Linked DNA regions of Oryctolagus cuniculus. The protein of the gene in region 6 interacts with the protein of the main gene of each other region in a pairwise test. Links are inferred from orthologs where the notes say so. Each region holds a gene or a part of one and is shown on either strand. Other genes may lie near its edges.

Evidence for each region.
Region 1: the proteins of PRPF31 (region 6) and PNMA1 interact in binary tests that used the Homo sapiens proteins (3 or more experiments, as listed by UniProt). The two-hybrid records come from large-scale screens. The link is inferred for Oryctolagus cuniculus from reciprocal best matches to the Homo sapiens genes PRPF31 and PNMA1.
Region 2: the proteins of PRPF31 (region 6) and PDE4DIP interact in binary tests that used the Homo sapiens proteins (3 or more experiments, as listed by UniProt). The two-hybrid records come from large-scale screens. The link is inferred for Oryctolagus cuniculus from reciprocal best matches to the Homo sapiens genes PRPF31 and PDE4DIP.
Region 3: the proteins of PRPF31 (region 6) and MIPOL1 interact in binary tests that used the Homo sapiens proteins (3 or more experiments, as listed by UniProt). The two-hybrid records come from large-scale screens. The link is inferred for Oryctolagus cuniculus from reciprocal best matches to the Homo sapiens genes PRPF31 and MIPOL1.
Region 4: the proteins of PRPF31 (region 6) and CDCA7L interact in binary tests that used the Homo sapiens proteins (3 or more experiments, as listed by UniProt). The two-hybrid records come from large-scale screens. The link is inferred for Oryctolagus cuniculus from reciprocal best matches to the Homo sapiens genes PRPF31 and CDCA7L.
Region 5: the proteins of PRPF31 (region 6) and TSGA10 interact in binary tests that used the Homo sapiens proteins (3 or more experiments, as listed by UniProt). The two-hybrid records come from large-scale screens. The link is inferred for Oryctolagus cuniculus from reciprocal best matches to the Homo sapiens genes PRPF31 and TSGA10.
Region 7: the proteins of PRPF31 (region 6) and PRICKLE1 interact in binary tests that used the Homo sapiens proteins (3 or more experiments, as listed by UniProt). The two-hybrid records come from large-scale screens. The link is inferred for Oryctolagus cuniculus from reciprocal best matches to the Homo sapiens genes PRPF31 and PRICKLE1.

What each region holds. Positions count from the first base shown.
Region 1 is NC_091451.1:19,888,745-19,893,116, reverse strand, and holds the start of PNMA1 (paraneoplastic antigen Ma1), read left to right. Parts: upstream 1-1,532; 5' UTR 1,533-2,583; coding exon 2,584-3,645; 3' UTR 3,646-4,372.
Region 2 is NC_091438.1:50,657,847-50,661,606, forward strand, and holds part of PDE4DIP (myomegalin), read left to right. Parts: intron 1-289; coding exon 290-522; intron 523-1,684; coding exon 1,685-2,117; intron 2,118-2,922; coding exon 2,923-3,115; intron 3,116-3,760. UniProt on the Homo sapiens protein: Functions as an anchor sequestering components of the cAMP-dependent pathway to Golgi and/or centrosomes.
Region 3 is NC_091443.1:38,300,127-38,303,886, reverse strand, and holds part of MIPOL1 (mirror-image polydactyly gene 1 protein), read left to right. Parts: intron 1-2,895; coding exon 2,896-3,127; intron 3,128-3,184; exon of another isoform or gene 3,185-3,760.
Region 4 is NC_091447.1:13,939,384-13,943,143, reverse strand, and holds part of CDCA7L (cell division cycle-associated 7-like protein), read left to right. Parts: intron 1-482; coding exon 483-629; intron 630-3,760. UniProt on the Homo sapiens protein: Plays a role in transcriptional regulation as a repressor that inhibits monoamine oxidase A (MAOA) activity and gene expression by binding to the promoter.
Region 5 is NC_091433.1:109,297,316-109,301,618, forward strand, and holds the start of TSGA10 (testis-specific gene 10 protein), read left to right. Parts: upstream 1-1,383; 5' UTR 1,384-1,489; coding exon 1,490-1,546; intron 1,547-2,774; exon of another isoform or gene 2,775-2,878; intron 2,879-4,303. UniProt on the Homo sapiens protein: Plays a role in spermatogenesis. When overexpressed, prevents nuclear localization of HIF1A.
Region 6 is NC_091449.1:4,564,675-4,569,107, reverse strand, and holds the start of PRPF31 (U4/U6 small nuclear ribonucleoprotein Prp31), read left to right. Parts: upstream 1-1,412; 5' UTR 1,413-1,543; exon of another isoform or gene 1,544-1,775; intron 1,776-2,033; 5' UTR 2,034-2,041; coding exon 2,042-2,218; intron 2,219-2,295; coding exon 2,296-2,356; intron 2,357-3,797; coding exon 3,798-3,881; intron 3,882-4,337; coding exon 4,338-4,433. UniProt on the Homo sapiens protein: Involved in pre-mRNA splicing as component of the spliceosome. Required for the assembly of the U4/U5/U6 tri-snRNP complex, one of the building blocks of the spliceosome.
Region 7 is NC_091440.1:133,849,869-133,854,401, reverse strand, and holds the start of PRICKLE1 (prickle-like protein 1), read left to right. Parts: upstream 1-1,666; 5' UTR 1,667-1,813; intron 1,814-4,533. UniProt on the Homo sapiens protein: Involved in the planar cell polarity pathway that controls convergent extension during gastrulation and neural tube closure.

The DNA.
Region 1 (4,372 bases), on a different chromosome or scaffold from region 6:
TTCTGTTGCTTTCCCTCCTATTCCGAGCTCTTTGCTGTAAGAAGTTAGACGAGAGACACCTCTAGCTTTGTAATCTCCCCACGCCGCCTCCCCATATCCATCTCCCAGTGTCCACCTGCCGTCAGCCACCGGCGTGACACTGCCCTAGTGCCTGTGTTCTGGACCGTCTCTGAGGTCTCTCCCATCCGAGGAGACGGTGACATCGTTCTGTCCTCCATGCCTTCGGCAGCGCCCCTCACCGCTGAGGCACACACTCGCCCCTCTGCCGCCGCACCTCCGCCCAGGCACGGAGGTCTCGTGCTGCTCACGGCCAAAGGAACTGCCCATACTTAACTGCCTCAGTGACCTGATCTCTCATGTGCCAGATGCCTAGATGAAGAAGGAACACAACACATCCCGAAGCCTCGGCTGTTTAGCACCCTCTCCACGGGGGCCCGCTTTTCTGGACAGTATTTATTACTAGACTGGCAAGCCTGACTCCTTTAGGTTTACAGGAAGTGTGCATATTTTTATAAAACAAGTGTCCTCCCCCCCCCATTTTGCTGTGTTACTGTTTGCCTCTAACGATTTGCAGCTGTTTCTGTTTCACCTTTTACTCATTTGTCTCCAAGTTGAAGGCCTTGTAGGAGGGGACAGCCTTGACAGTCTGTAATTATTGTACAAATATTTTAATAGCATATAAAGAAGTATATTCCTTTTATTTTGAAACAGATGATCAGACACTGCCTTTTGTGTGTTTGCTGCCTGTGGCAACCTTTTTTAAAAAAGACTGTTACATATGAAAATGGTGTACATATATATAAATATATAAATATTACCTCTTTGGCTGTACAGTTGTGATAGAGCAGATGGAAGATTTTATTTTTTGTGTGCTTTTTATATAAAAATTAATACACTAAAGAGAATCTTGCTGATGTGATTGTAATGTACCTATGTAACTTATTTACTTTTGAATGTTCTTCTGTATCTTTAAACCTTTCATTAAATAAGGTTTTAAAAATTCAGAGTTGGATGCTGTGTTCTTTTGGGGGATTTTCATCCTCTGAGATTGACCGAAGCGGCCCTTGCTCTGGCTTGAAGAGTACCCGAGGCAGGGATTACAGAATACTGGTGCGTTGCCAGCTGTAGGTAGGTAGGTGGCCGGCCTTTTGACTAAGTGTTAGATAAGAGGAAGTGGCCGGCGCCGCGGCTCACTAGGCTAATCCTCCGCCTAGCGGCGCCGGCACACCGGGTTCTAGTCCCGGTTGGGGCGCCGGATTCTGTCCCGGTTGCCCCTCTTCCAGGCCAGCTCTCTGCTGTGGCCAGGGAGTGCAGTGGAGGATGGCCCAGGTGCTTGGGCCCTGCACCCCATGGGAGACCAGGAAAAGCACCTGGCTCCTGGCTCCTGCCATCGGATCAGCGCGGTGCGCCGGCCGCAGCGCACCGGCCATTGGAGGGTGAACCAACGGCAAAGGAAGACCTTTCTCTCTGTCTCTCTCTCTCACTGTCCACTCTGCCTGTCAAAAAAAAAAAAAAATTAGAAAAAAAAAAAAGATAAGAGGAAGTGTCCAGTCTGTGTGTCACACAAGTGGGATACTTGGGAGCCTTCGTTTCCTCTGGATGAGATGCCGTCCACGCACCTGGCTTGATGCGCCAGTTGCATGAGCAAGTCAGCCACCACGGGTGATACCCACTAGTATCTGAAATCCGCTCCGGATTAGAAGACAGAAGCCCTCGATGCTTATTGGTATTTTTTTTTTCATTGTAAAAGTCTGGAACATCTGATGGCTGCGGTACCATGGCAACCGCTCCCCCCACCCCGCGCCGCTGCGCACGGAGTCTTCGGGAGCGCGTCGTCCGGGACACCGTTGCCATGGTCACGCGCGCGCGCCTCGCCGGCGACCTGGATCCGGTGCGGCGGCCGCGGCTCGCGGGCCGGCCCCGCCCTGCACTGCGGCGGGAACGCGCCGGCTGCCGAGCTGCGCCACAGCCGCCGCAGCCCGTCGCGCCACGCGAGCCCGGCCGGCCCCACCAGCCTTCGCCTCCCGCCTCGCTTCTGCATCCTTCCTGCGTCTTTGCTCCCCTCAGCCCTCGGTTTTCAGCGGTCCTCGCTGTCCGGAGGGGTCCCCGCGCCCGAGAAGAAGCCGCTGCTCGCCGGCTGGCCCGGCTGCCGCCGCGGTGACCTCGGACAGCCTCTCCCGCCGGGCCCGGCACGCCGAGCGCTCCTTCGGGCTGCCGCTCCTCGCCCCGCTGAGGGCCGGGCTCGGACCGCCAGCGCCGGGGCGACTCCGGGAGCGGCGGCCACGCCCCGCGGCCACACCCCGGCGCTCCCGGGCCCCGCGGCTCCCGCAGGCTGCACTCTGGGGCCGCAGACCCCGACCCGGGACGCGAGATGGCGACAGCCGCGTGACTGACTGAGCCCCTGCGAGGCCGCGCCGGGGAGCCGCAGACGGACAGCGGGGCTTGGGTGTCGCTTGTTACCAGCGACCGCGGGGACCTGCCGCCCGCGCGCCTGCTTGCGGGGAGTGTCTGGTGTTGGTTGGAGTTCGGGGAGCCGCAGTCTGATCCGTATCTGTCGAATCGGTACCTTTGATAGTTGGGAACATGGCGATGACGCTGTTGGAAGATTGGTGCAGGGGCATGGACGTGAACTCCCAGAGAGCGCTGCTGGTTTGGGGGATCCTAGTGAACTGTGATGAGGCTGAAATCGAAGAGACCCTCCAGGCTGCGATGCCCCAGGTGCCGTATCGAGTGCTTGGGAGAATGTTCTGGAGGGAAGAGAACGCGAAAGCAGCCTTATTAGAGCTCACTGGCGCTGTGGATTACGCCGCGATCCCCAGGGAGATGCCTGGCAAAGGAGGGGTGTGGAAAGTGCTTTTTAAGCCCCCCACGTCTGACGCTGAATTTTTAGAAAGGCTGCACCTCTTCCTAGCTCGGGAGGGGTGGACCGTGCAAGATGTTGCCCGCGTCCTTGGGTTTCAGAACCCGGCCCCGGCCCCGGGCCCCGAAATGCCAGCCGAGATGCTCAGCTATATTTTGGATAATGTTATTCAGCCTCTCGTGGAGTCCATATGGTACAAGAAGCTGACGCTGTTCTCGGGGAGGGACATCCCGGGGCCTGGGGAGGAGAGCTTTGACTGCTGGCTGGAGCACGCTAATGAAGTCATAGAGGAGTGGCAGGTGTCCGACACAGAAAAGAGGCGGCGGCTGATGGAGAGCCTCCGGGGCCCCGCCGCCGACGTCATCCGCATCCTCAAGACCAGCAACCCCGCGATCACCACCGGCGAGTGCCTGAAGGCGCTGGAGCAGGTGTTCGGGAGCGTGGAGAGCTCTAGGGATGCGCAGGTCAGGTTTCTGAACACGTACCAGAACCCGGGAGAGAAGTTGTCGGCTTACGTCATTCGTCTGGAGCCGCTGCTGCAGAAGGTGGTGGAGAAGGGGGCCATTGATAAAGAGAACGTGAACCAGGCCCGCCTGGAGCAGGTCATCGCCGGGGCCAACCACAGCGGGACCCTCCGAAGGCAGCTCTGGCTGACCGGCGCTGCGGAAGGGCCGGCCCCGAACCTCTTCCAGCTGCTGGTGCAGATCCGTGAGGAGGAGGCCAAGGAGGAGGAGGAGGAGGCTGAGGCCGCGCTCCTGCAGTTGGGCCTGGAGGGGCACTTCTGAGCCCCAGGAAAGAGGGCTGCCGTGCAGACCCGGCCCGCAGCTGCTGTCCTGGTCCCGAGTAGTAAAGGCCTAGCTGCCTGCTGTTTTCGTTGTGTTTTTCTTGGAGGGAGGGGGTTCTGGCCTGCCCGTTCCTGTAACTCCGCCGACACTGCACAGAGCATGGGGAGCTGCTACAATGCCGATGGGCTTGCTGGCTGCGGCGCCCGCTGTCGACATGCCGGCACCCTCGGCTGTGACAAGTGTGAACCCGTGACTCTTCCCATGGAGATAAATGTGAAGTCGCACGTGCAGATGTTTAGCCCAGGGCCTGGCTCGCAGGAACCGTGAACCATCACATTGTTATCAGCGTCGAGGCTAGTGTGTGTTGACTGTAAATCATTCCATGTTTATATTAATGGAAAGAAACGTGCATTGTTTAGGTAATACTGCTCAGCCTCACAGTGCAAATCTCTTAGTGCTCATCTTTAAAGAGCCGGATCTGTGGAACAGAGTGTTCTGAGACTCCAGCTGGGGCGCTGGAAAAGGACTGCAGTTCCGGAGCTGTGCTGATCAGAGGTCGCGCAGAGAAACCACCTGGGGAGATGGCTAGGACCCGGTGACAGTGACCCACCCATCCCCCCACTCCCCTTCCAGTCCTTGTCAAAATAGTTCTTGTTCACCCAGATTTTAAATGTTCTACATTTGAACTTATCAAATAGATGTATAAGAATAAAAATATTTTAAAAAC
Region 2 (3,760 bases), on a different chromosome or scaffold from region 6:
AACATCAAAGTGTCCACATGCTTCAGTTTTGGCTAACTCCATTTGTATCAATTTCCTACATGCTTGGGTGTTTTCACACCCATTTCTGGGTTCCCATCTTCTTCCCCCTGTGCACTTGGTGTGTCCTTACCACCCGCACCAGTGTCAGCACCTTGTGACTGAAGAAGTCCTTGGTGGGAGTTCTTTTTAGGTCTGCTTCCTTTATCCCTATTACAGACCACCCCTGCAATGTCCTGTTCTTGGATCCTCTTTAATGACCTAACTTCTTTAACCTCTGATTTTTTTTCAGCTCATCAAAGTGGCTTTGGAGAAAAGTCTAGCAACTGTGGACACCCCAGACATGTCGCTTTCCTCCCCCTCCCCAGTAGGCGGGGACAGTAACAGGTGTCTTCAGGAGGAAATGCTGCAACTGAGGGCTGAGGTTCACCAGCACTTAGAGGAGAAGAGAAAAGCTGAGGGGGAACTGAAGGAGCTAAAGGCTCAAATTGAGGAAGCAGGATTCTCCTCTGTGTCCCACATCAGGTAGGATGTTCTGCCAAGAGAGGGGAGCTTCCTAGGCATGAGGCACCGTGGCCAAGGCAGTCACTTTGCTGCAACCAGGGCAGTCATGTTGCCATGGACTGCTTAGTCCACATCCCAGGCTCTGGGCATGAATGCTTCCATACATTCTTTAGAGAAAAAAATCAGTAATGTTAGGTTAACGGTAATCCTCTGCTACTTTTCTCATAGCATTAGCAGGAAGCTGGATTGGAAGTGGAGCAGCCAGGACACAAACTGGTGCCTGCATGGGGTGCTGGCATTGCAGGTGGCAGCTTTATCTGCTATGCCACACACCAGCCCAATAATTATTTTTTTAAAAAGATTTATTTATTTATTTGAAAGGTGGAGTTGCAGAAAGAGAGAGGGAAGACAGAGAGAGTGAGATCTGCCATCCGCTGGTTCACTCCTCCAATGGCTCTGATAGCTAGGGCTGAGCCATCCCAAAGCCAGGAGCCAGGAACTCTATCCACACCTCCCACATGTGGGAGGGGCAGTGGATCAAGTACTTGGGGCATCATCTGCTGCCTTCCTTGGCACATTAGCAGGAATCTGGATCAGAAGTGGAGCAGCTGGGACTTGAACTGGTGCTAACATGGGATGCTGGTGTCGCAGGTGGTGGCTTACCTTGAAGCCCCACAATGCCGGCCTCCACAAGCAAATAATTATATAGGTACATTTGCTTATAATTCTGATTAGCATTATTTATTCCTTCGGTGTTCCTAGGTCCCTATTTATCATCCATTGGTTTAAAACTGTTGGTGATTATAATTAATGCAATTATATAATCCACTACAATACAATTATTGCAGGCAGGGGCCTTTCTGCTCTTTTCTTTAGAGTGTAAGTCCCCATTTTGTTTTGTTCAGAGGCCACTGACAATTGGAACACAGGAGGCTGTGTGGCTCAGGGTGTCTCGCGACCAAGAGTTTAATGAGGCACTGTGGACGTATGGGCAAGTCTCTCGGCCTTCCTGAGCCTTGGTTTTCTCATCTGTGAAATAGGGGAGCTGTTGGAAATCTATGAGGTTACTTTATGCTCTGGGGTGTCTCTGAGTGAATTCATGGAATTAGATGCGGGTAAAAGGGACTATTAGCAGCTGTGGTGAAGCCCAGCCCCAGCCCCTGATTGTGTCTGTTTCCACCAGGAACGCCATGCTGAGCCTTTGCCTTGAGAATGCAGAACTGAAAGAGCAGATGGGAGAAGCAATGTCTGATGGATGGGAGATAGAGGACGACAAGGAGAAGGGCGAGGTGATGGTGGAGACTGGAGTCACCAAAGGGGGTCTGAATGACAGCAGCCTTCAGGCTGAGTTCAGAAAGCTCCAGGGAAAACTGAAGAATGCCCACAACATCATCAACCTCCTCAAAGAACAGCTGGTGCTGAGCAGCAAGGAAGGGAAGAGTAAACCCACTCCGGAACGCCTTGGGCATCAGGATAAGGAGGCTGACGGAAGCAACCCGGAACTGCATTGTTCTCTGGAGAAGCACCAGGGCCAAGAGGAGGATGTGAGCATGAAGCCCTGCCCCAGACCCCAGAGCCTTGACCTTGGAGCTGCCCGCCCTGTGGATGCACAGCAAGTATGTGTGGGCATGGATGAGATAAAAAAAATACACACTTGGAGAAGGGCTGGAGATACCAGTCTTTACCTTAAACAATTCTGCCTTTTGTGTCAGGAGATACAGAGGGAAGAACACCTTTGCGCCAAAAACAGTGGTGATGATAATATTCTGCACACAGTCTGCCCTAGAATGCTTTTACAGCAGTATCTCATGAATGTTTCCTGAGTGCTTAATTTTCCAGGTAACACAGTAGGCATTAGCAGGCAAAAAAGCCTGACCAATGCCTTTGAGGACCTCAAGATGGTGGGGAAAGAGGCCATAGGTTGTGGCAGCTGCTGTGGTGTAGGGATGCACTGGGTTTGAGGCAGCGCAGATTGTCACTGTGCAGTGACAACTCTTCTCACCGCCATTTTTATCACAGCTCATCACAGCTCACCACAGCTCACACAGTTCCTGGGTCTCAGAAGGGTTGTTGGGGTCCCTTTAAGGGAAGCAGCTTTGCTGAGGACTTAGTAAAGTGAAGAATACAGAGGGATCTGAGATGGCCCCTGCAGAAGGAAAGCAGGGAGATGGCATTTGTTTACTGAGGTCTCCTGTCCAGATTTGAGTGGTGCTGTGCTCGGTGCTGTAGATACAGAGATGAATAAAGCAAATCCGAGTTCTCCAGGAGTTCTGTCTGGAAAATAAGAAACTGCCGGATGGCGTGAGAAGTGCTGTGACAGACACATGCATTGAGTCCACAGGGGTCAGAGGCTGAAGTGTCTGCTCCTGGGTGTGGGATGAGCTTGCGCTGCCCTGATCCCTGTGTTGGCCCCTTTCACAGCTGGATAACCAGTCCCAGGCGTGGGACCCTGTGCCTCAGTCAGAATTTAGCCTCCCAGGGTCCACCAAGCACCTGCGCTCCCAGCTGGCACAATGCAAACAACGCTACCAAGATCTCCAAGAGAAGCTGCTGATCTCAGAAGCCACTGTGTTCGCCCAGGCGAACCAGCTGGAGAAATACAGAGTCATATTCAGTAAGTCTTGCAAGTTCACTGTCACCACAATGCCTGTTTGCTTCTTGGGCAGCTACAGGTTCCACAGACTTGATTTTTCTTTCCCAACCTGAAAACAAATTTAATCCCGACCATCTTCCTGGAATTGTGGAAGTGGACCTTTTACTTCCATTAGTAGATGGTAGAAAAGAATAAACAGAGCAAGTAAGGTTTCGAGTTTGCAGTGAGAGGATAGGCAAGAAATGGGCTGACCGTCTAGGTTTGCTGCTTTGTGGTGTACCCAGTACGCTGCTGTACTTCTGTCAACCTAGTTAACGGTATTTCCTCTGCTCGTCTTTGCACCATATCAGACTTTCCAAAAAGATACCATCACTGTTGGTCTAGCATCAGCATGGCCCAGAACTTCCTGCAGTGGATGGGAATGTCTCCTATGTACATCACATGTAGCCATTGACTACATGAAACATGGCAAGTGCAACAGGGAATTTTTTTTTTTTTTTAGTATTTTAAGTTTTTTTTTTTTTTTTTTGACAGGCAGAGTGGCAACAGGGAAATTTTAAGTTTTATTTAATTGTAATGAATTTAACATAAAATAGTCATGTAGACTGTATGTGAGGTACATGTGGCCAGTGACTGTCTTATTGGACAATGCAGGTCTGGATGCCT
Region 3 (3,760 bases), on a different chromosome or scaffold from region 6:
TTTTGTTTACTTCACTTAACTCTAACCCTTTGGAAGTTTTATTACTTTGCATATTCCCTTTCTCTGTGGAAGCAAAAAATGTGAACATCTGACTATGTGTGGCATTTTACATGTACGTGATCTCTATAACCCTAGTATAGTCCTTACTGCATTATATTCAAGTCATTGAATCAGTTTGCAGTAATCACTGTACTGTTGAGTCCTTAAGGGGAATATCTGTTGCTTGCTTATCTTTGTTTCCCTAGTACCTATCACAGGATAAATCACACTGTAGGTTTTCCATGAGTTATCATTAAAATATTGAATAAATTTGATAGAAGAGTTAAACTTTTGATACGAAATAATTAAATATTGGTAGAGGATAATGTAGTATTACTGAGAAGGACTGCATTGAGAACCTTCAGAAGATTTTATTTTGTTTTATTTTATTTTTATTTTTATTTTTATTTGAAAGGTAGAGTTATAGACAAAGAGAAAGGTCTTCATTCTGTTGGTTTACTCCCCAAATGGCTGCCATGGCCGGCGCTGTGCCAATCATAAGCCAAGAGCCAGGTTCCTCTTCCTGGTCTCCCACGTGGATGCAGAGACCCAAGCACTTAGGCCATCCTCCACTGCCCTCCTGGGCCACAGCAGAGAGCTGGACAGGAAGAGGAGCAACCTGGATTAGAACCCGGCGCCCATATGGGATGCTGGTGCCACTGGTGGAGGATTAACCAAGTGAGCCACAGTACTGGCCCAAGAAGATTTTAACTCTAATTTGCTAAAATTATACTTGTCAAAATAGTTTTTTTAAAAAAAGTCAGGAAAATTTTATGAATCAGCCTTTTTTAATATAAGGTGAAATTATATTCTCAGTAGAGAATATGCAGAATGTGATTTATAAAAGTCTTTAAATGTCTGATGAACAGTTCAGAATAAAGCCCTAAAAGATTTTTCTACTGATGGCTGGTGTTGTGGCACAATGGGTGAATGTGTTGCTTGGATGCCTGTATCTAGTATCAGAGTGCTTCATGTGAGGCCATGCTACTCTAGCTTTTCATTCGGCACTCTGCTCATGCATTTGGAAGGCAGTGCATGATGGTGCATGTATTTGGGTCCCTGCTACCCCTGTCAGAGACTTGGATGGAGATCTTGGCTCCTGGTTTCAGCAATGCCTAGTTTTGGCTATTACAGGTATTTGGGGAATGAGTTAGCAAAAGGAGGATCTTCTGTTTCTCTGTCTCTCTCTCTTGTTTCACTCTTGTCACTCTGCCTTATAAATAACAAATAATTATTTTAAAAAAAGCTTTTACTGATGAATAAAATTAGAGATACCCAAAGACAGAGCCTAATCACACAGTACAGGTTCTTTAAAAATACTTTAAAATTAAGAGTTTAAAATTTTAGAATTTGCTTTTTGAAAAGTTCAAGGGCCGTCCCTGTGGTCCAGTGGACTAAAGCCCCAGCCTGAAGTGCTGGCATTCCATGTGAGCCCCAGCTGTTCCGCTTCCTATCCAGCTCACTGCTATGGCCTGGAAAAGCAGTGGAGGATGGCCCAACTCCCTGGGCCCCTGCACCCACATAGGAGACCCAGAGGAGGCTTCTGGCTCCTGGCTTCGGATTATCTCAGCTCTGGCCATTGCGGTCGTTTGGGGAGTGAACTAGCAGAATGGAGGACCTCTCTCTCTCTCTCTCTCTGTCTCTCTCTGGCTCTACCTCTCTCTAACTCTTTCAAATAAAAAAATTAAAATAAAATAATTCTTTAAAAAAAACTTCAAGATTATTTCTGCTAGAAATAATGAAATGATAATTGCAATCACCATTTGTGCTGTTGATCTAATGTACTAGTAAAAAAGTTATGTGTGCATGTATGATTTTTCTCCCAGAAACCATACTATGCTTTGAAATGTGCACTACTCCTTTGAAACAGATTATATTTACTAGTGGTAACTTAAAAATAAGTTGTGTGATATATCCAGATATTATTCTCTAATTTGAGAGTACTTCACCAATGATGTGTAAATAAAAGTATGAGGAGCTTTTTTCCTTGGCACAATTTTTTTTATATCCATGCATGATTTTTTCAGAATTTGTATTTTCTGTGTATTGTGGAAAAACTTTTGCATGAAAATGAGCTCATACTTTTAATTCCATTTTTCATGAATTTTTTGCAGTATACTCGTGCATGGTACATACCTGATAAAATGAGGGTTAGAAATAATTATTATATTCTATACATTTTCATGTTGTGATGCTTAGAAAAATAGCAGCTAATGTTTATTAATGTGTCAGGTCCTAGACCAAGTACTTCGCATGTATTAGTTGAGTCCTCACAACAACTCAGTGAAATAGATGACGTTATAGTTCCCTTTTATGAACAAGAAACTGAAGCATGGAAAGGTTAAGTAACCAGCCCAAAGCTATGCATTTGGTAGAGCTGAAGTTCTAACCCACGCAGTCATAACCACCATTCCATGTACATTATCATTTTCCTATGACCCTTAACTTACTGTATCTAGAAAACAGTACATCTCTCAACCAGTGGTTTTCAATCTTAAATGTATACTGAAATCATCTATAGTGAGCTTAAAATATAAAGATTGGGTCCTAATCCCAGAGATTCTGATTTTATTAAAATAGGGTGTGGTATGGGTTTAAGATATTTTTGACTCCTTACATTATTCCAATGTGCAACATTGTCAGTTACAATCATAAGTGTCTATTGACTTTGGAAATAGGAATATTGATGGCAACAACCACTCTGTACATGCTTATCCAATTATAGTAGGAGTAAGATTGGTAAGTGTATATTTAAAGTTTTAGGACTATTCAGAAAAAACTATTCATTACTATTCATTTGTATTTAATAAGCAGCTATGGTGTCTCATATATCATGTTATGTTTGTTTAAATACAGATATAGCCCACATTTATCCTGAGCAAGAAACTGCAGGGAGAAATAAAAGTGCACAGTCAGATGAGCAACTGACTATGAATTCCAAGGGAAGCATGCATCAGAAATCCAATGAATTCATAAATGAAGTCCCATACGAGGACACGAAACTGCTAGGGCAGAGTTCAAGGAATTTTCAGATCATCAGTCCTTATCCAGATGATGCGACAGCTTACTGCACTACTGAAAAATGCAAGTGAGTGCTAGCAGCCTGAGATTTAGAAACAGAATTGGGAGAACTTTCTCTTCCTCCCTACCTCCTTCCCTTCCTTTCTTTCTCTGTTTCTTTCTGGTGTGGATTAAATTTGACATGTCATTAACTGACTAGAAGTTGGGATCTTTCCTAGCACTATTTCCATAATAATGATATACTGTGCCTAGTTAGCTAAGTGAAAAAGCACAAGGTGAGTATGAAGGAAAGTGATGAGATTTTATACTTTGTTCAGTATTTCTTTGATATTACATTATAGATGTAGAAATGACTGTTCAGTTAATATAAAAGTATTGTTGCTCAGGAGAGAAAAGCTAGCAGCTCCAGGATAAATTAAACCCCAAAATGTGTTTTGGTTTGGGTTACTACTGTTTTTCATTTAAGTGAATTTTAATACTTTTAGAAGAGTCTTGTTCTCTACCATATGCATTTCCTTATTACTTTACATTCTGTATTTTTTCCATTCACCTTGCCTACCTATCTCATGAAGGGATTTGGACTTTGTGATTAATGTACTTTGATAGCCATGGGCTATGAAAATATTATGTTTTTAAATTTCAGTGATTAATTTTCATTCTAGACAAAATATTTTCTGGAATAATTTCTGACAGTTTTGCA
Region 4 (3,760 bases), on a different chromosome or scaffold from region 6:
CGGTGGCTTTACCCACTACACCAGAGCACCGGCCCCTATTTTATTTATTTTGAAAGGCAGAGTAACAGAGAGAGAGGGGGACACAGAGAGATCTTCTGTCCATTCGTTCACTCCCCAAATGGCCACAACGCATGGGGCTGGGCCAGGCTGAAACCAGGAACCTGGAACTCTACAGGCCTCCCACATGGGTGGCAGGGGCCCAGGCACGTGAGGTCCTCTGCTGCCTTCTCAGATGCCTCTGGAATTTGCCACTCTCATCTCTTCCCTCCCTTCCCTCCACCGTCCCCCCCCCCCCCCCCAGCTGTAAGGTCTTGGCTGCAGCACCTGCTCAGGGTGCCCAGGGCCTTCTGGGTAATCATGGCTCAGGGTGCCCAGGGCCTTCTGGGTAACCATGGCCCACGGGGGAAAGTCAGGAGTTGGACAGTCCCAGTCCTGACGCGATTGTAACAGTGCCCGGTTTTCCTCTTCTGACCCCAAAACAGATCCCTAAGGAGGTGGCTGACATCTTCAACGCCCCCAGCGACGAGGAGGAGGAGGAGTTCCTGGGCTTTGCAGATGAGGTTCCCATGGAAACCCTCTCGCCAGAGGGGAGCCGTGATAGCTTTGACTCCCTGGCGTCCCCGGCGCAGGTAGGATGCTGCTTCCTCCCCAGGCCTGAGCCTGGGGGCCGAGACGCCTCGGTTTGTGCGTGGCTTGCGGTCACTGAGGCCGCTTAGCCGGTGGGCGTCCCATCGCCAAAACTTTGCGCCTCTTGGTTTCTTCCCGCCCATGGTATTATTGTTGTTGTTGTTGTTATTAATAGAGAACCCTCATGTGATCAGATCTTTGCTCTGCTCCCTGCTGTATTCAGAACCCCCCCACCATGGCTGGCAGGGAGTGGGCCCCGCCTTTGCCGTGGCCGCCCGCGGGGTGCAGCAGGTGCTCCTGCCTCTTTGCAGCTGCTGGGCCAGTGTCATTCTCGGATCGCTTTGATCTGTAGCAAGCACAAGTTACAGTTCTGCCGGGGCTCACTTCCTGGAGGTTTGTCTCGTGCCGCAGCCATCAGAATACCTCCCTTTCCGCGGTGTTTCTGTGCCTTGCCACTGCCCTGACCGCGGCCGCTGTGTGGAGGCCCACCCTGGCTGCTGCTGGCCGCAGCAGGAAGGGAAGCAGTTAGTGTGATGAGGGGAAGGGGCTGCCTGACTGCTTGTTGGTGACCCTGGCCTCGTCTCGTCTCTAAGTGCAGATGCTAGGATCCGCCTCCAGAGCCTGGCCCATCTCTAAGTGCAGATGCTAGGATCCGTCTCCAGAGCCTGGCCCATCTCCTAAGTGCAGATGCTAGGAGTCTGTCTCCAGACCCTGGCCCATCTCCTAAGTGCAGATGCTAGGATCCGTCTCCAGACCCTGGCCCATCTCCTAAGTGCAGATGCTAGGAGTCTGTCTCCAGACCCTGGCCCGTCTCTAAGTGCAGATGCTAGGATCCATCTCCAGAACCTGGCCCATCTCTAAGTGCAGATGCTAAGATCCATCTCCAGACCCTGGCCCTGGCCACGGCCCCAGGCCCCCTGCATCCCACTCTGCCGCTGCTCTTCCCGCATACCTCGGCTCTTGCTCCTGCCACAGTGCCTCTCTGCGGCCCGCTGGGGGAGCCTGCTCCTGTGTGCAGAGGGACCTGCCTGCCCCGTCCTCTGTCTGCCAGCTGGCCAGCTGGCTTTCCTGGTTCCCCGTCTTTAGCTCCATCTTTCACTGCCCTTGATCCATCCTTCCTCCTCGTCCTCCTCCTCCTGTCTTGGCGATTCCCATCCGGGGGGGAGGAAACTTCTGCCGTGTTTCGCACACTGATGCCTTCCCCCACTTCGCTCTGCATCTGCTGGAGCCCTCGTCCTTCCCACCAGGGTCCCGTGTAGGCCTGGGCTCTGGCCACGCCCCCTCTCCTGCCAATCGTCTTCAGAGCAGGTCAGGCAGCAGGGGGGGTGGAGCCTGGGGCATGGACCCTGGGGGCCTTCGGAGCCAGCAGAGAACCTGGCCTGCCCTGGGCCTTAAGAGACAGAGCAGCTGTTGGGAGACTGCTGACTTGGTCACACGTGCCCTTTATGGTGCCCAGTGTGACCGCAGCACCCTCAGCCGGCCTATGGCAGTGTGCATGGGGAGCAGGGAGCCCGGCCAGGGTTGGAGGCCAGCGTGCAGCGAGGCTGGCCGCAGGAGAGCTTCGCCTCTGTGGGGAAAGGAAGATAAATGACAGCGCAGGCTTGGGTTTAGGACAACTGCTGAGTTTTTCTCCCGTGTCGATCAGGCCAGCAAAGATGTTGATTCCTCCCGGGCTGCCGGCTGCCTGCTGAGGCCAGCACTGAGCACAGCGGGAGCTAGGAGGACTGGGAGATCGGGGCTCCCTGCTGTTCCGGGGCCCCTGGCATTCAGTGGTCCGCTCTGGGTGGTTAATGCAGTTTCCATACAGACCCCATTGCCCTGCAGGTACCTGGCGACTTTAGCCAGGGCCGGGCCCTGAGTCCACACCCTCACGCTGTGTTCTCACAGCTCAGAGCCGCTGCAGGGACTTGGAGATGGTGCCCACCCTGGGCTCCCCGACCACACTTTGAATCTCACGTTACAGAAACTTCCCTTTTGTGGGTGCATCCCCCCCCCCAAAAAAAAAACAGCTGCACCACTGCTATCAATAAAGGAACAGAGTAATCTAGAATGGAGCAAACTCTTGCAGTTACCCACAGTCATTCATAAGAGACATTTTCAAGCTTAAAAAACGGTACATCTGGCCGGCGCCGTGGCTCACTAGGCTAATCTTCTGCCTTGCGGCGCCGGCACACCAGGTTCTAGTCCTGGTCGGGGCACCGGATTCTGTCCCGGTTGCCCCTCTTCCAGGCCAGCTCTCTGCTGTGGCCAGGGAGTGCAGTGGAGGATGGCCCAGGTGCTTGGGCCCTGCACCCCATGGGAGACCAGGAAAAGCACCTGGCTCCTGCCATCGGATCAGCGCTGTGTGCCAGCCGCAGCGACCATTGGAGGGAGAACCAACGGCAAAGGAAGACCTTTCTCTCTGTCTCTCTCTCTCTCATTGTCCACTCTGCCTGTCAAAAAAAAAAAAAAAAAAGGTACATCCAGGGCAGGAGGCACGAGGACCCCGGCTGGAGCCCTGGGGAGTGGTTGTGGGCTTGCAGGGGGCCACTCTGGGGGGGCTTCCCCAAAGTCTGCAGGTTTTCCTCTGCTTTCTTTGGAGCACTCTTAGGAGAGCTGGGTTTCCTCCTTTGTGGTATTGCAGAAGAAAGGAGTTACAGGGAGGGAGGCGAGAGACAGAGATCCATCTTCCACCCACTGGTTCACACCCAGTATGGGGTGCCGGCACTGCAGGCGGCGGCTTAACCTGTTACACCACGACGCGGGCCGCACAAAGATTTTTCCTTTCTTTTTAAAGGTTTATTCACTTATTTGTAAGGTACCATTACAGAAAGAGGGAGAGAGAGAGAATCTTTGATCTGCTGGTTTACTCTTCAAATGGCTGCAATGGCTGGGGCTGGGCCAGACTGAAGCCAGGAGCTTCTTCTGGGTCTCCCACATGGCTGGCAGGGGTACAAGCACTTGGGCCATCGTCTGCTGCTTTCCCAGGTGCATCAGCAGGGAGCTGGATTGGAAGTGGAGCAGCTGGGACTCCCAACTGGCGTCCTGGTGCCCATAATCCACTAAACCACAACACTGGCCCAGAAAGACTTTTTTTTAAAATTGGCATATGTTTCTCAGAGCCACATGTTGCTCAAGCTCACTTGCCGCCTCC
Region 5 (4,303 bases), on a different chromosome or scaffold from region 6:
AAAACAACAAGAAGCTGAAAAAATAAGGGACTTTTATGAAGAAACTGTTTGAACCTAAAAATTGCTTATCCTTTTTATGTTTGTGTGTGTGTGTGTGTGTGTGTGTGTGATGGGGGAAGAGTACTCACCAGGAATTGTCTCCTTAAACAAATCTTACTTTCAAAACGCACAGGTGTATATTACATCTAGGGCATCAGAGGACTGCTGTAAAAACCGAGTATCTGTAATTCAACTGTAGAAAAATGCAAGGGGATGAAGTCAGCGCTGAGGTTCAGAAGTTCTTGGGTTGTTTAAGAAAGATGACATACTAAATAGTAAGAAATATTCCTATTCAAGCTGGGCCCTTAAAAAACTGGCAGAATCACGCCAGTCTCATTCTTCACTAAAAATCTAATTTACCAACCTCAAGGTCATGTTCATTTTCACGCACTTGGATGGCCAAAAAGACGACAAAAGGTTAAGTTACTGAGTGAGCTCCGACCAGAGGCTCCCAGATAAAAAAGTTTAAATAGTATTAAACAGAAAACGATCCAGTATTAAATATGAAGTGAGATTGTACATCTTTTCGTTTTCTTCGTTAAACATCACCGGTTTTCCGGAAATGGGGTCTGGCGAAGCACCAGCATGTGCAGAAGAAATAGTGGGCAGGAACCAGGGTTTTCACTGCTTGTTTTGCCACTTCCCAAATCAACCCAGCCTCGGCGGCACAGCGCTGACCGAGGCCTGGTCGCCTCACTCCCCGAGGCCGAAGAAGAACCCCACCTGGTAGGCTTCCTGGAAACCGGCCCCGTCGGCTGCGGCAGCGGCTGCGCCAACAGCAGCTCTGAGGAGTAATGGGCTCGCCGAACTCAGGTCCCAGACGATTCCGGCTCCCGGGGCCAACTAGCACAAAGACACCGCCACCAAGCAGCAGGTGTCCCAGAGGGAGCGGAGGCGCCTGCGCATGCGCGTTCCCGCCAGGTGCGACCGGCCCGGGCCGCGGGTACGGAAAGAAGTCTCGCGGCTGGTTACTAGGAGACGGGACGCTCGGGCCGGGAGCTGGGCGCTGCGTGGGCGTGCGCCTGCGCGGCGCGGATGGGCCAGAGAGACGCCTCTCCTCGGCGCCCTGTACGGCGGGCAGGTGGATGTACGCGACGCTACGTGCGTAGGTGCGCGCGCGCACGGCTGTAGTCCTGTCGAGAGGGAGGGTCGAGCCAGGTACGCGTGCGCACGGGGACCGGAGGCGCGTGGGACGGAAGCGGAGCCAAGGCGCCGCTGAGGTGGAAGACGAGCCCGCCCCAGGTACAGAGCGTGAGGGCGGGGCCGAGGGCGGCTCCGGCCGGCGCTAACCGCCCCCGCCCGCTTGCCGCCGGGTCCCCTCCCTCCTCCGACTCCGCCGGGGCGGGGCCAGGTCGACTGGGGGTGTGGGAAGGGCGGGGACAGGGGCGGAGGATGGAGGCGGGGAGGGCCCCGGCTCGCCGGCGGAGGCCGAAGCCCGGCAGTCGCCGGGATGAGCTCCGCGGAGGACGCGGGGCCCAGGAGCCCGAGGAGGGACCCGGAGCGCCAGGTAGAAGCACGGAGGATGCGCCGGGGTGGCGGGGTGGGCTCTCCTGGGCTTGAAGGCCCCGGCCGCGGGAGGGTGGGAGTGGTCGGCGTGGGGGCTGCGGGCGACCTGAGGAGGGTCCTCGCTGCCCGAGCCGCGGTGAGGGGCCGGAGCGGACGGAGCGGCGGGGTCCGTGTTGTCCGGCCTTGGGAGCCTAGTCCCTATGGTGACCGCCCCGCCTCCTGTCGCTCCCCGCTCCGTTGTTGGGGACGCGGTTTTGTTTGGGAACTCTGTAGCGGAGCTGAGGAATTTGGAAGGCGAGAGATGGGGAGGTTCAGCCTGGCTCTCAGTCTCTCTTCAGAGTCTCCATAGACTTAGGGAATCGGGGGCCGAGACCGTAGCAGGCATTTGCATGAAATCCTCGTATAATTTCAGGAGAAACTACAGCGAAGGCAGGGTAGCAGGGCTGTGTTCGGAAAAGATCCTTGAGCCTGGTTGATCAGGGACCTGACACTGAAATGCACAGGGATACACTTGTGTGGGGGTTTTTTTTGCCCGTCAGATAAAGTCAAGGATTGCGGCTTTAGGAAGTTTTGCATGTCGGACAGAGTTCCAGCGCTTGTATACCACGACATCCGATGCTTTAAACTTCCTCTGCTGATTGTCAGCCCTTTTTTTTTTTTTTTAATTTATTTGACAGGTAGTGTTATAGACAGAGAGAGAGGTCTTCCTTCCGTTGGCTCACTCCCCAAATGGCCGCTACGGCCGGCCAGCACTGCGCGGATCCGAAGCCAGGAGCCAGGTGCTTCCTCCTGGTCTCCCATGGGGTGCAGGACCCAAGCACCTGGGCCATCCTCCACTGCACTCCCTGGCCACAGCAGAGAGCTGGACTGGAAGAGGAGCAATCGGGACAGAATCCGGCGCTAGAATCCGGGACTAGAACCGGGGGTGCCGGCGCTGCAGGCGGAGGATTAGCCTAGTGAGCCGCGGCGCCGGCCAATTCTTAATTGTATTTTAAGTAATCTGTAACCCAATCCCTGAGTCCTAATCAGTGGGAAATTTACTTTATTAATTTATTATTAAATTTACATTAAACCCTGAGGCAATACTTAATGGTGGCTTTCAAAATATATCACAACTGTTAACTTTCTGAAAAAAGAAAAAAAAGTCACTGCTTGTTGTCTGGAGTATAATCAGGTATCCAGACTGGTTGGGCTCTCCTTTCTGTCTTTTTCAGTTGTTTGAAGCAGTTTGCTTTAGGATGCTTGGTTTTTAAAGTCTCCGTACGCAGAGGCAATCGGAGCAGGTGTCACTGTTCATCCTCTTCAGATCATCCATCCCTTTCTCTCCCCACAGGTAGCAACTATCTCAACTTCTAATAGGATTTTTCCTTACAGTTTGAAACTATATATGTGAACATGGGAGTTTAGTTTGCCTTTTTTTTTAAACTTTATATAAATAGAATTGTATTTAGGTATTCTTGCTGTTGCTTGTAGTTGGTTTGCTGGCTAGTGTTCTATGTTCTGTTGTAAGGGTGTATTACAGTTTAAATACTGCACTGTTGGTGGACATTAAGGTTTTTACAGTTTTTGGCAATGATGAATGACACTGCAATGAACTTTTCATACATGTATTTCAGGATAACCTTTCGAAGTGAGCTCATTAGCAAAGTAATTATTTTTGTTAAGCTATTAACATCAGTCTTTTATGTTAATAAATTCTTGTAGCCCAGAAGAGCTTCTTGAAAACAACTGTGTAATCCCTGATGGAGCAAGGACAAAAAGCCTTAGATCCATGTTGACGTCTCAGCTACATAACAGCAAGCGAGCCCCCTTGTCTCTGCCCTGCTAATACAGCCCGCCCTGCTGTGATCAGCCCTGCCCTGCCTGGACTGCTGGACACTCCACTATCTGAAGAGTCCAGCTATCAGGCTGAGCTCGCCCCGCTCCTCCCAAACTCTCTCCCTTCCCCTCCCTCGGTTCAGCAGCCCAGCCTCAGCCCAGACCCCTCCCAGTTCACACCGTAATCTCTCAGGACCTTTAGAACTAGCTCAAGCTCTCCCTGTATCTCAGACCCCAAGCCCTCTTTGCCACTTTGTACTATATAAACTGCTAGTCTGTAAGGGAAGGGGCTCTCTCTGCTGTGTGTTCACCTGGGAGTGAGCCCCTCCCTGGCTTTATTCTTCTGAATAAGCCTGGCCTGGCTGTGGCTTCATACTCTGTCTGTTTCCTGGTAATTCCTTTTTGTGTTTCCAAGAGGTCTTGATAAACATTATTTCTCCTGTGGCCATTTTTTATGCTTCTTTGAAAAGACAAGTTATTTCTTTACACTTATGTGTGGATTGTGGAAAAGAGAGGAGCTTGGGTTTGGATGGAATGACCAGGGAGGTTCTTCTTCTTAAGAAGGATTGAACAGTGGGGCTTTACTGTTTTGTCTGACGTGAATTCCCAAAACATTTATTCAATTATGTTTATTGTAAATAAAAGGAGTCAAAATTATATATAAAAATTCTGTGTGGTTTTCCACATCTTTCTGTTAGTAAGGCTATTTCTACTTCAGAGTGTGTATAAGTCTAAAAACTTCTGGAGATCATTAAAAAAAAAAGATTTATTATTTAAAAGAATGATTGAGTGAGAGAGAGACCTTCCATCCAGTGGTTCACTCCCCAGATGGCCCCAACGGCCAGGGCTGAGCCAGACCAAAGCCAAGAGCTTCATCCTGATCTCCCATGTGAATGCAGGGGTCCAAACACTTTGGCCATCTTCTGCTTTCCCAGACCGT
Region 6 (4,433 bases):
CTGCCATTTATCAGCTGTGTGAGCTTGGTTGCTTAGCCTCAGCCTCACGTTTTTGCATTTCCAAACGGGGACAATGAGGATTCATCCCTAGGGAGGGTGGGCTAAGGGCAGAGGCTCACAGAGTCCCCCTGGGCCCAGCACCCATTTGCTAAGCAGATACCTCCCGCCTCTCCCCGAACCCCAACACCACTTGAAGGGCTGAACTGTGTTCCTTCCCCCTCCCCTTGAAAAGGCGTGTTGGAGGCCCAACCCCAGCACCGGGCCCCTACAGAGCAGACCAAGTTCAAAGGAGGCCCCTGTGTAAGGCCTACTCCAGCGCTGTGTGCTTCGTGAACACCGGAAAGTCCAGAGGCCGAGATCCAGGCGCGGCTTCCCAGAGCAGGAGAGGGCCAGGAACCGGGGGAGGCCCCCGGAGCCCCTGCTAAGAGGCCACAGAACAGGACCGCTCCCGCGGCGCCCCCTGACGGGCAAGACGGGGAGGAACCCAGAGACCTTGTCCCGCGGCGCCGAGCCTGGCTCCCGCTCCATCCTCCTCCGGGCCAGGGAAGCTGCAGCAGGGCTGGGGGTGGGGGGCGAGGCCCGGGCTCGGGTAGGGGAGGCGGGGGCCCGCGCTTCCACCTGGGGGTGTCAGGGAGCTCCCGGGGCAGAGTGCGTGGGCGAAGCTAGGTCGACACGCCCACGCAGGGGACGCACCCACCCACCTGCTCTATCTCCCGGCAACGCCGCCCCAGCGCCTGGTACTTCCTGCGGTTCAGCTCCCGCTGGCGCCGCCGCCGGCCCCGGGCGGCCTCCTCTTCCTCCTCCCGCTCCCGGAGCCCCGAGCCGCCCAGGCCGCCGGACACGAACTCCACTTCCGTCTCGAGCTCGCTCTCCAGAATGTGGCCGCCGAAGAGCGGAGGCAGCGCCAACTCCGAGCCCGGCGGCGCCGAGAACTCCTCAAAGCCCACGGCCGCCATGGTCCTGCAGGGTCGCGGGCGGTCGCGGACGCTCAGGGACGCCGCGCGCCCGGGCCCCAGCCCCCGCCTCCCGCAGCCGCCCGCGCGCGGTGCAGACCCGCCGCTCACCCCTCTCTCTGCTCCAGCTCCATCGCTGTCCCGCTCCGGGCGCCCCGGGCCGTCCGACTCGCGGCCGGGTCTCCAGCCTCGGGCCCAGGCTTCGCGGCGCGCCGGGGCTGCCACCCGGGCCCTCTGGGAGTGGGGCTGGGGGGTGCGGGCTCCTGTTTTCGGCCTCGTGCCCTCACCTCCCGCGCCCCGCCATCCCCACCTCCACCCTCCCGAGTCCCGGGTTTCTCGTCTGCGTGCCACCGCCTGTATTCTCCTGTCGACACTGTCGTGCAGCCACGGCGATCCTCCGCTCAGCAGGCTCCAGCTCTCCTCTCCGGGACTCACCCCGTCTCCTCCTCCGCGCGGGTGCTAATAAAGTTGTTGTTCCGAACGCGCGGCCGAGGGCCAATCAGAGCGCAGCGCCGGCGACGCGGGCGTGGGACGTCATCAGTGCGCGCCGGCCGCTCGGGGAAGCTGCTCACTTGCTGCAAACGGTCGTGGTGAGTGGGGTGCGCAGGACGGGGCGGGGGGCGGAGTGGGAGAGGGGAGAGGCGGAGGTCCTACGGCGCTCCCCGCCCGGGGTCCGGCCCTGGGGACAGCTCGGACGTTAGAGCTTGGGTTGACGGCGGGGAGGCAGGCTTAACCAGGTGGTCCCTTACGGGGTCCCCTGCATGTGAGGCGTCCGGGCCTACTCCCGTGGGGGTGGGCTGCGGGGGTCCCGGCGGTGGGAAGGTAGGGCTCGCGGAGACCTGGAGGCGAGGACAGGGTTGTCAGGCTCGCCCGGAGTTGGGTGGGGGGCTTTCATGGGTCCCGGCTGGGGCTAGCCCGGCCAGCGAAGCAGGCGGGAGTGCCTGTCCTGGGCAGCCTGCGGCGGTGGGCTCGGTGAAGAAGGGGCTGGGCCGGGGCTGGGCTGGGCGCTGGGGGCGTGGCCCCTCCCAGGAGCGGGGGCCCAGGGGGGACACAGTCCGAGGGGAAACGCCTCCCCCGCAGGTCGCGGGATGTCTCTGGCGGACGAGCTCCTGGCCGACCTCGAAGAGGCGGCAGAAGAGGAAGAGGGAGGAAGCTACGGGGAGGAGGAGGAGGAGCCGGCCATCGAGGATGTGCAGGAGGAGGCGCAGCTGGATCTCTCGGGGGACTCGGTCAAGAGCATCGCCAAGCTATGGGACAGCAAGATGGTGAGAGGAGGGAGATGCGGGCGCCCCCGGGAGCGGGGGTTGGGGCTCTGGTTCTGACTGTCCCCGGCTTCCCGCAGTTCGCGGAGATCATGATGAAGATCGAGGAGTACATCAGCAAGCAGGCGAAGGCGGCGGAAGGTGCTGCCCCCCACCCCTCCCCGCCCGGCGCGGCCCTGGCCCCTGCGTCCCGCCGACCCGCCGACAGCTGGCTCTGCCTTCAGCCCGGCCTAGCCCCCCTTTCTTCCTGAAAGCCCCCCTGCATCCCAGGGCTGGTGTTTCTGACCTCCTCGCCCTGTGCTGAGCGCCTGCTGCTTGCCGCTGGGCACACCTCAGGGCGTCCAAGCTCGCGTGGGGCGCGCACACGGCCTTTGCCACGGCCGTGAGACGCCAGCCGTAGGACCTGACATCAGGGGACTTGTCCCTTTAAGTTTCTTAGAAATCTTGACTTTCTGTTTCTATGCTTTCTATTTTTTATCCTTGTGGGTTTTTTTTTTATTATTATTATTACTAGAAAAGCAGAATTAGAGAGAGAGAGAGAGAGATGTTCTACATGGTGCCTCACTCCGGAGATGACTACAGCGGCCAGGGCTGGGAGCCAGGGACTCCGTTTGGGTCTCCCACAGGCATGGCAGGGGCCAGCTTCCACTGATTTCCCGGGCGCATTAGCAAGGAGCTGGGTCAGAAGTGGAGCAGCCGGGACTCGAACCTGTGTTCGTATGGGATGCTGGTGTTGGAGGTGGCGCTTTAACCCACTGCCACAACGCCAGCCTGTCCTTTACCTTTATCTAAGAAGGAAGCATTACTACTGTACGCTTTGGTAGATACGAGTTAGCAATAAAAGTAAATAACTTACTGTTAAATTATTATCTAAAGCCTTTTCCCGCTTCTGACATCGGGGCCCACCGGGTCAGATGTTGAATGTGCAGGTCAGCTCCTGGGAGGGCTGTCCTGTTTCTGCCCCTTGCTCTTTGTCACCCAGGGCTCTTGGTGGCGGTCACTGGCACCAGGAAGCGGGGCGGGGGGAGGTTGCTGGGCATGGGGGAGGGGAGTGGGCCGAGAGCAGAGGCTCCGAGAAACTGGTTCCCCCTTCACCTAGTGTTTCCCGGGTCCCTGCTCTTGAGATGCTCAGGGTCTGGTGCAGGAGACAGGCGGGTCCCAGGCAGTTGTCGGAGGGGCTCAGGGTGGGACTGTTCGGTCCTGCCTCGGGGGTCCTGAACCAGACTCCGGAGCCTGAGTACCTGCGCTGAGCAGAGAAGGAGCCCGGGGCTTGGGGGCCAGCCGGGCACTTCTCCCAAGCCATAGGGAGGGACACTTCCCCAGGTCAGGCCCGGCCATGCCCAGCAGGGGGGGATGTGGATGCACCGCGTCTCACAGCCTGGTGTCTGACAGGCAGCACCAGCACCGCCGGGGTGTGGGGAGACCCCTCACCAACCCCCCTCAGCCCCCGCCAGCCAGCGTCTGGGCTCAGCTTCAGGCCGTACCCTCGTCAGCCCCTCCCCCGGTCCCCGCCTCCCCAGCCGTGGGCCCCTGGGGAAGGTGCCTTCGGACTGAGCCCCGCACCCCGGCTCCTCCTCCTCAGTGATGGGACCGGTGGAGGCGGCCCCTGAGTACCGTGTCATCGTGGACGCCAACAACCTGACCGTGGAGATCGAGAACGAGCTGAGTGAGTGCCAGGCCGAGCTGGCCCTGCCTGGGACCCCGGGCCACCCTGCCCTGCTGGCCTCTCCCACACCCTGCCCGGGCCCCGTGCATGAGAGCGGGCACGGCGGGGGGCGGGGGGACAGCGCTGAAGCGGCGTGGCTCACGTAGGGAGAGGAGCTTTTCCTCTCAGGGAGCCACGCCGTGGTGCCCGGGCTCTTGCTGTCATGTGGATCTGCCGCTGGCTCGTGGGACAAGGCGACCGCCCCACTTCCGGCCAGCGCCTTCACGTCCCACCAGCAAGGCCAGGAGGCAAGGAGGGGCATGAGCTGCCGTCCTCGCTCAGCCGGCAGCCGGGACAGGCTCTGCCGAGACGCCGGCATCTGAGGGCAGTGCAGAGGAAGGGGGAGGCGGGGCCTGGGGAGAACCAGGGGACTCTGCCTCCGCCCTCCTCAGCCGCCTGCGCTGCCGCCCCCCGCAGACATCATCCACAAGTTCATCCGGGATAAGTACTCGAAGAGGTTCCCCGAGCTGGAGTCGCTGGTCCCCAACGCGCTGGACTACATCCGCACGGTCA
Region 7 (4,533 bases), on a different chromosome or scaffold from region 6:
ATGGGCGGGTGGTTAAACAGCGCCATCCTCCATTGTTTCTGTTTCACTCCATGATTCGGATTCGTTCTGCTGGGCAACTCCTGTGGCCTGAAGGTCTCGACTGGAAACAGAGGCCATCCAAAGGCTGCGCATAGGAAGAGAGGGCCCTTTGCCCTTCAAAGTGCGCATTTTCACTGCTTCTGCCAACGGGATAAATCATTCTGTCCGTTTCCCTGGGCAGTAGTGGAGGTTAGACAGAAGCGAAAAGTTTACAGCTTAATAAGTAGGGCTGTATCCCTCAGCCGGCTGCACAGACACAGCTGAAAAGACCAACCCCAATAAAATGAGAGGAGCAGGGCGGCCATGCTCTCTTCCAGGACTGGCATCAGTTACGGGGCGCGGGTAGGGGGAGACTTTCCAAGCCACAGCCCCCTTCCTGGGGGGATCTGCGGGGGCGCCCGCAGGGCAGGGGAGGGGGCTTCCCTGGCTTGCCCCTCTCCTCCCCCTACCCCCGCCCCCGCCCCTCCCCCGTCTCCACGCTGGTTGCTTACATCCCCTCTTCCACCGGCCCCATTTTTGCTGACTGTTCTAGCCTAGCTTCAGTCCCAGGGAAAATGGAAGAGGCTCGGTGCTCTGAAAAATTCCAGCAGCTAAGGTTTTTCTTAACGGGATACGAATTGCGTCATCGACACCTCCCTCTGCGCGCCCCCGACACCTACACATCCTCGTCTTCCTGGAAGGAGCTCCTGCGCCCTACAGGGTGCACCGAGCCACGAAGGCCAGGCTCGGCGAGGGCACTTGCCCAGGTGGGGTGGCCTGGGAGCGACGCCGCGGCTCCCACCGGGGAGGGCCGCGGGTGCTGAGGATTCGGGGCACGCCGGTGTCAGGGCAGAACTTGGGAACTGGCCGAATTCAAGTCCGTCGTAGGCAAAGGTGCCTGCGGGCCCAGCCCCGGGAATTGGGCAGACAGAAAACGTGGAGTTCCAGGGGCCGGAGAGCGCCGACGGCCTGGAGGTGGTGGTGCGGGCCGCCGGTCTGCGGTTCGGGCACACGCTCCCCGCGCGGTTCGCTTTGGGGCGACCAGGGCCGTCGAGAAGGGAAAGAGACGGGTTGGGGGCGCACTGTGGCTGCCGGCCCGGAAACAGCAGCCCTCTGACTCCAACGCAGACCCTGGGTCCCCGCGGAGCCAGGAGCGCGCGGAGGAGTCCAAGTTGAACGAACTGCCCTCCACGCACCCGAAGGACCCGGACTCAGCGCGCAGACCCCACTCTGGCCGAGGCCAGTAAATCGGAAACCTGGGCTGCCCGCTTCCCCCCTGCACGCCTCCTGTCCTGCAATCCACCGGGATTGCTGGTCAGAGAGAGGAGCATAAAATTGGGGGCGGGGCGGGGCGGCACCAGCGCAGCACTTGAGCACCCGCGCCGCGCGGCGTGAACTTGCACGAGCCCCGCCCAGACCGGCAGCCCCCTGCCAGGAGCCCGCGCCTGCCCCGCGCGCCCCGCCCCGCGTCCCTCCGTCTCCCCTTTTCTCGCCCCGCGCGCCCGGGTCCCGCGCCGACCTCGCAGCTCGCGGCCGAGCCGGGCTGCGCGTGGGCGCGCCGGGCGGCCCGGATCCGTGCGCCGGGGGTATCCGCGCTCCGCGTTTTAGCTCGCGCCGGCCGGGGCCGGGCCGGGGGCGGGGCGCGGGGGCCGAGCGTCTCCGCCGCAGCCCGCAGCCCGCGCCGCCTCCCGGACGCCGCGCCGCCCGGCGGCTCTCCGGCTTTCCGAGGTCCGCGCGCCGCCGCCTGCGCTCGCCAGCCGCTGACGCCAGGACTGCAGCGTGCCGAGCGCCTGCGGTGAGTCCTGCGGGGGCCGTGACAGTGGCCGCGGCCGGGCGCGCCGCGGGGGAGAGGGCGCGAGGGGCCCGCTGGGCCGCGGGGACCTTGGAGGCACCGGGCTGCGGCACGGGCTCCCGAGGGGCGCCCGCAGGCACCGCGGCTCGATTCGCGCTCCTGCGCGCACCGCCGTCGGGGCCCGGGCAGGGGCCGCAGCTCGGGAGCCTGCGGACGCCCGTGCAGGGTCCGGGTCCTGCTCGCCGGGGAGGCCGCGCGCTTTTCGGCAGGGGCCCACCCGACTCCCGCGGGTCCCTGCGCTGCGGTTTGCTGCGGGTAGCGCCTACAGGGGAGAGAACGCGGGCGCCTCCTCCCAGGGGCGGAAAAAGTTGCAGAAGCCGGGCGTGTGGGTGACCGGAGGACCGGGGCAGGGGTACAGCGGGGGCTTGACGCGACCGCTGCGCTCAGAGAGGAGCGCAGGGCGCCGCCGGCGACTGCAGGCAGGGCCATTTGGGGGACTTTGGGGAAATTGTCCCCAGATGGTCTCTGGGAGGAAGGGAACGGGGCGGCGGGTCGTCCCTGCCGGAGCGCTCGCCCGCCCGGGGAGGCTGAGGGGCGCCGCCCGCACGTCTGGGCGCCGGAGTCGGAGTCTGCGAGGCGGTGCAGCGCGCGGCGCGGGGGACCAGGCGGGTCGGGGTCCGCCGACTCCTGCGGCGCCGAGGTGCCTCGGGCTGCGGGAAGGGAGTCCGCGCCGAGGCCGAGTCGAACCCTGTGCGTGCGCCCGCGTGCGCTGTGCCCGCCACCGCGCAGGGCTGCGCTTGCCCGGGATGTTATGTAAGGGACGCGGTGCTCCATCCAGTGTTCCACACGCACTGCTGGAGTGCAGGAACTTCCGTCCGTGTCTGCACGTAGGTCCGGGGTGTAGACAGCCGCGACCGGCTCCAGATGTGTGCTCAGCTGTTGCCTGTCACGACAGTGACAAGTGGCCCTTCCCCACCGTGGTCCTCAGGGGGGTGTCAGCGTGCGGCCGCCGGGTGCGGGTGTGGGCTCGGGGCGGCAGCCTTGTTCGACCACCCCCAGCTGCGTGTCTGTTCCCACACTCTGCCTGCAAGATAGATCCGCTTTGAATTGAATACCAACTTAACCCAAAAATTCTGCTTTGAGCGAGACAGGATGACGCAATATTTGTCAAGCTTCTCCCTACCCCCACCCCCCACCGCCGGAACAATATTTACTCCCACCAGGGGATTTTCAACCGAAACAGCAGCCATTTATCTTGTGGTCCCAGCCTAGGTGGCGGGGCCAGGCCTGGGACAGAGATCTGGCCCTGTAGCCCAGCAGGGAGCTCCAGAAAGCAAAACGCAGCACCTGCTAGCACCAGAGGCTTTCCAAAGGCCATGGACCAGGCCAGTCAGGAAGCAGGGGAGATGTTTTACAGGCTCTTCCAGAGCTGTTTATGCAGCGGATTTAAAGGTTCACAGTGCGTGCGCTCTGCAGATTAAAACTGAGCAGTGCATGGATGTTACCCACGGCTCGGGGTTAGCACCCTTGCCCACAGAGTCCCACCTTTCTGAGTTCACCAGTGGGGGCCGGGAGAGATGCATGCTGGGGCTGTCTGAGGAGGGAGGCGGAGAGGAAGGAGAAACTCAGGCTGCAGGGGGGTGGACATATGCCTGTGAGGGAGTGGGTGGAGGCAGTTAATTTTTCCATCCTTAATTTGGTACTAATTGCTGATGGGTCTCTGAATGAGCCTGGTGGTTCAGAAGAGAAAGGGTCGTATCCGGCTGAAGCGACAGATACAATCAGTGCTGCGATTACGCTTTCGTCATGCAGGTCCACACTGGGTGGCCTGTCTACATTAAAGGGGTGTAATGAGTGAGCCGGGGTCAGCCACGTTGCATCTAGTATCAGCTGAGAGAGGCAAAGAACCCTGAACCACTCAGCTTAGCCCATTCCTCCCAGCTCGCTCTTCTATGGTCACTGCGAAGGAAAAGCAAAACAAGTTAAAATTTCTGGTTTCTTTAAGGATTTTTAAAACTGTCCTCAGAACTTCTCTAAAATCTCTTCTAATTGCTTGAAAGCCAGACACTGAGAGTGGAGTGTCGAGACTGTTTTAACACTCACGAGGGGGAACGAGAATCTTGAAAAGTTGCTTTCCTCTCGTGAAGTCCCTCTGCTAATGGTGTAGCCCTGTGCTGCAGTCGTGGGCTAGCAGAGGGCAGAGTTCTCCCAGGCGAGTCTCCCTGCTTGCATTCTGGTGTCTGCGGTTCATTTCCTGGTCAGAGCAGCTGGTACAGAGAAGTCACAGTGGCTCTTGTCTGCTGGTGGAAGTTACAGAGGCCCCTTGACCAGGAGAGGCTCCTCCCCTTGTGAAAACAGCTCTCTGTTTTCTCCGTGTTGTTTAAAAGAGCAGGGACTACAGGAGTTCTAAAATTGCTTGCATCCGTGTGTAATTACCACGCTCAAGAGGAGGAGAGGGAGCGGGACTTGGGTTTCTAGCTGGCTCGGGTGCTGTTTCTGGGGCCAGGGCTACTTTTTCTTCTCGCTGCACTAGGTAGCTTTAGAAGCCTGGGAGAGGCAAGCCCAACAGTCGGGTTCCAAGTCCTGCACTGTGGCCATTCCTCGCCACCATGGGCAGCACGTGGAGCCAGCACTCCAGGACGGAGTGCCAGGGATCAGGATGGCGCTGGAGGGGCTGAGCTGCCCAGCCTTCTCCACTTCCCCACCTCTAGGGGCACCCCCCA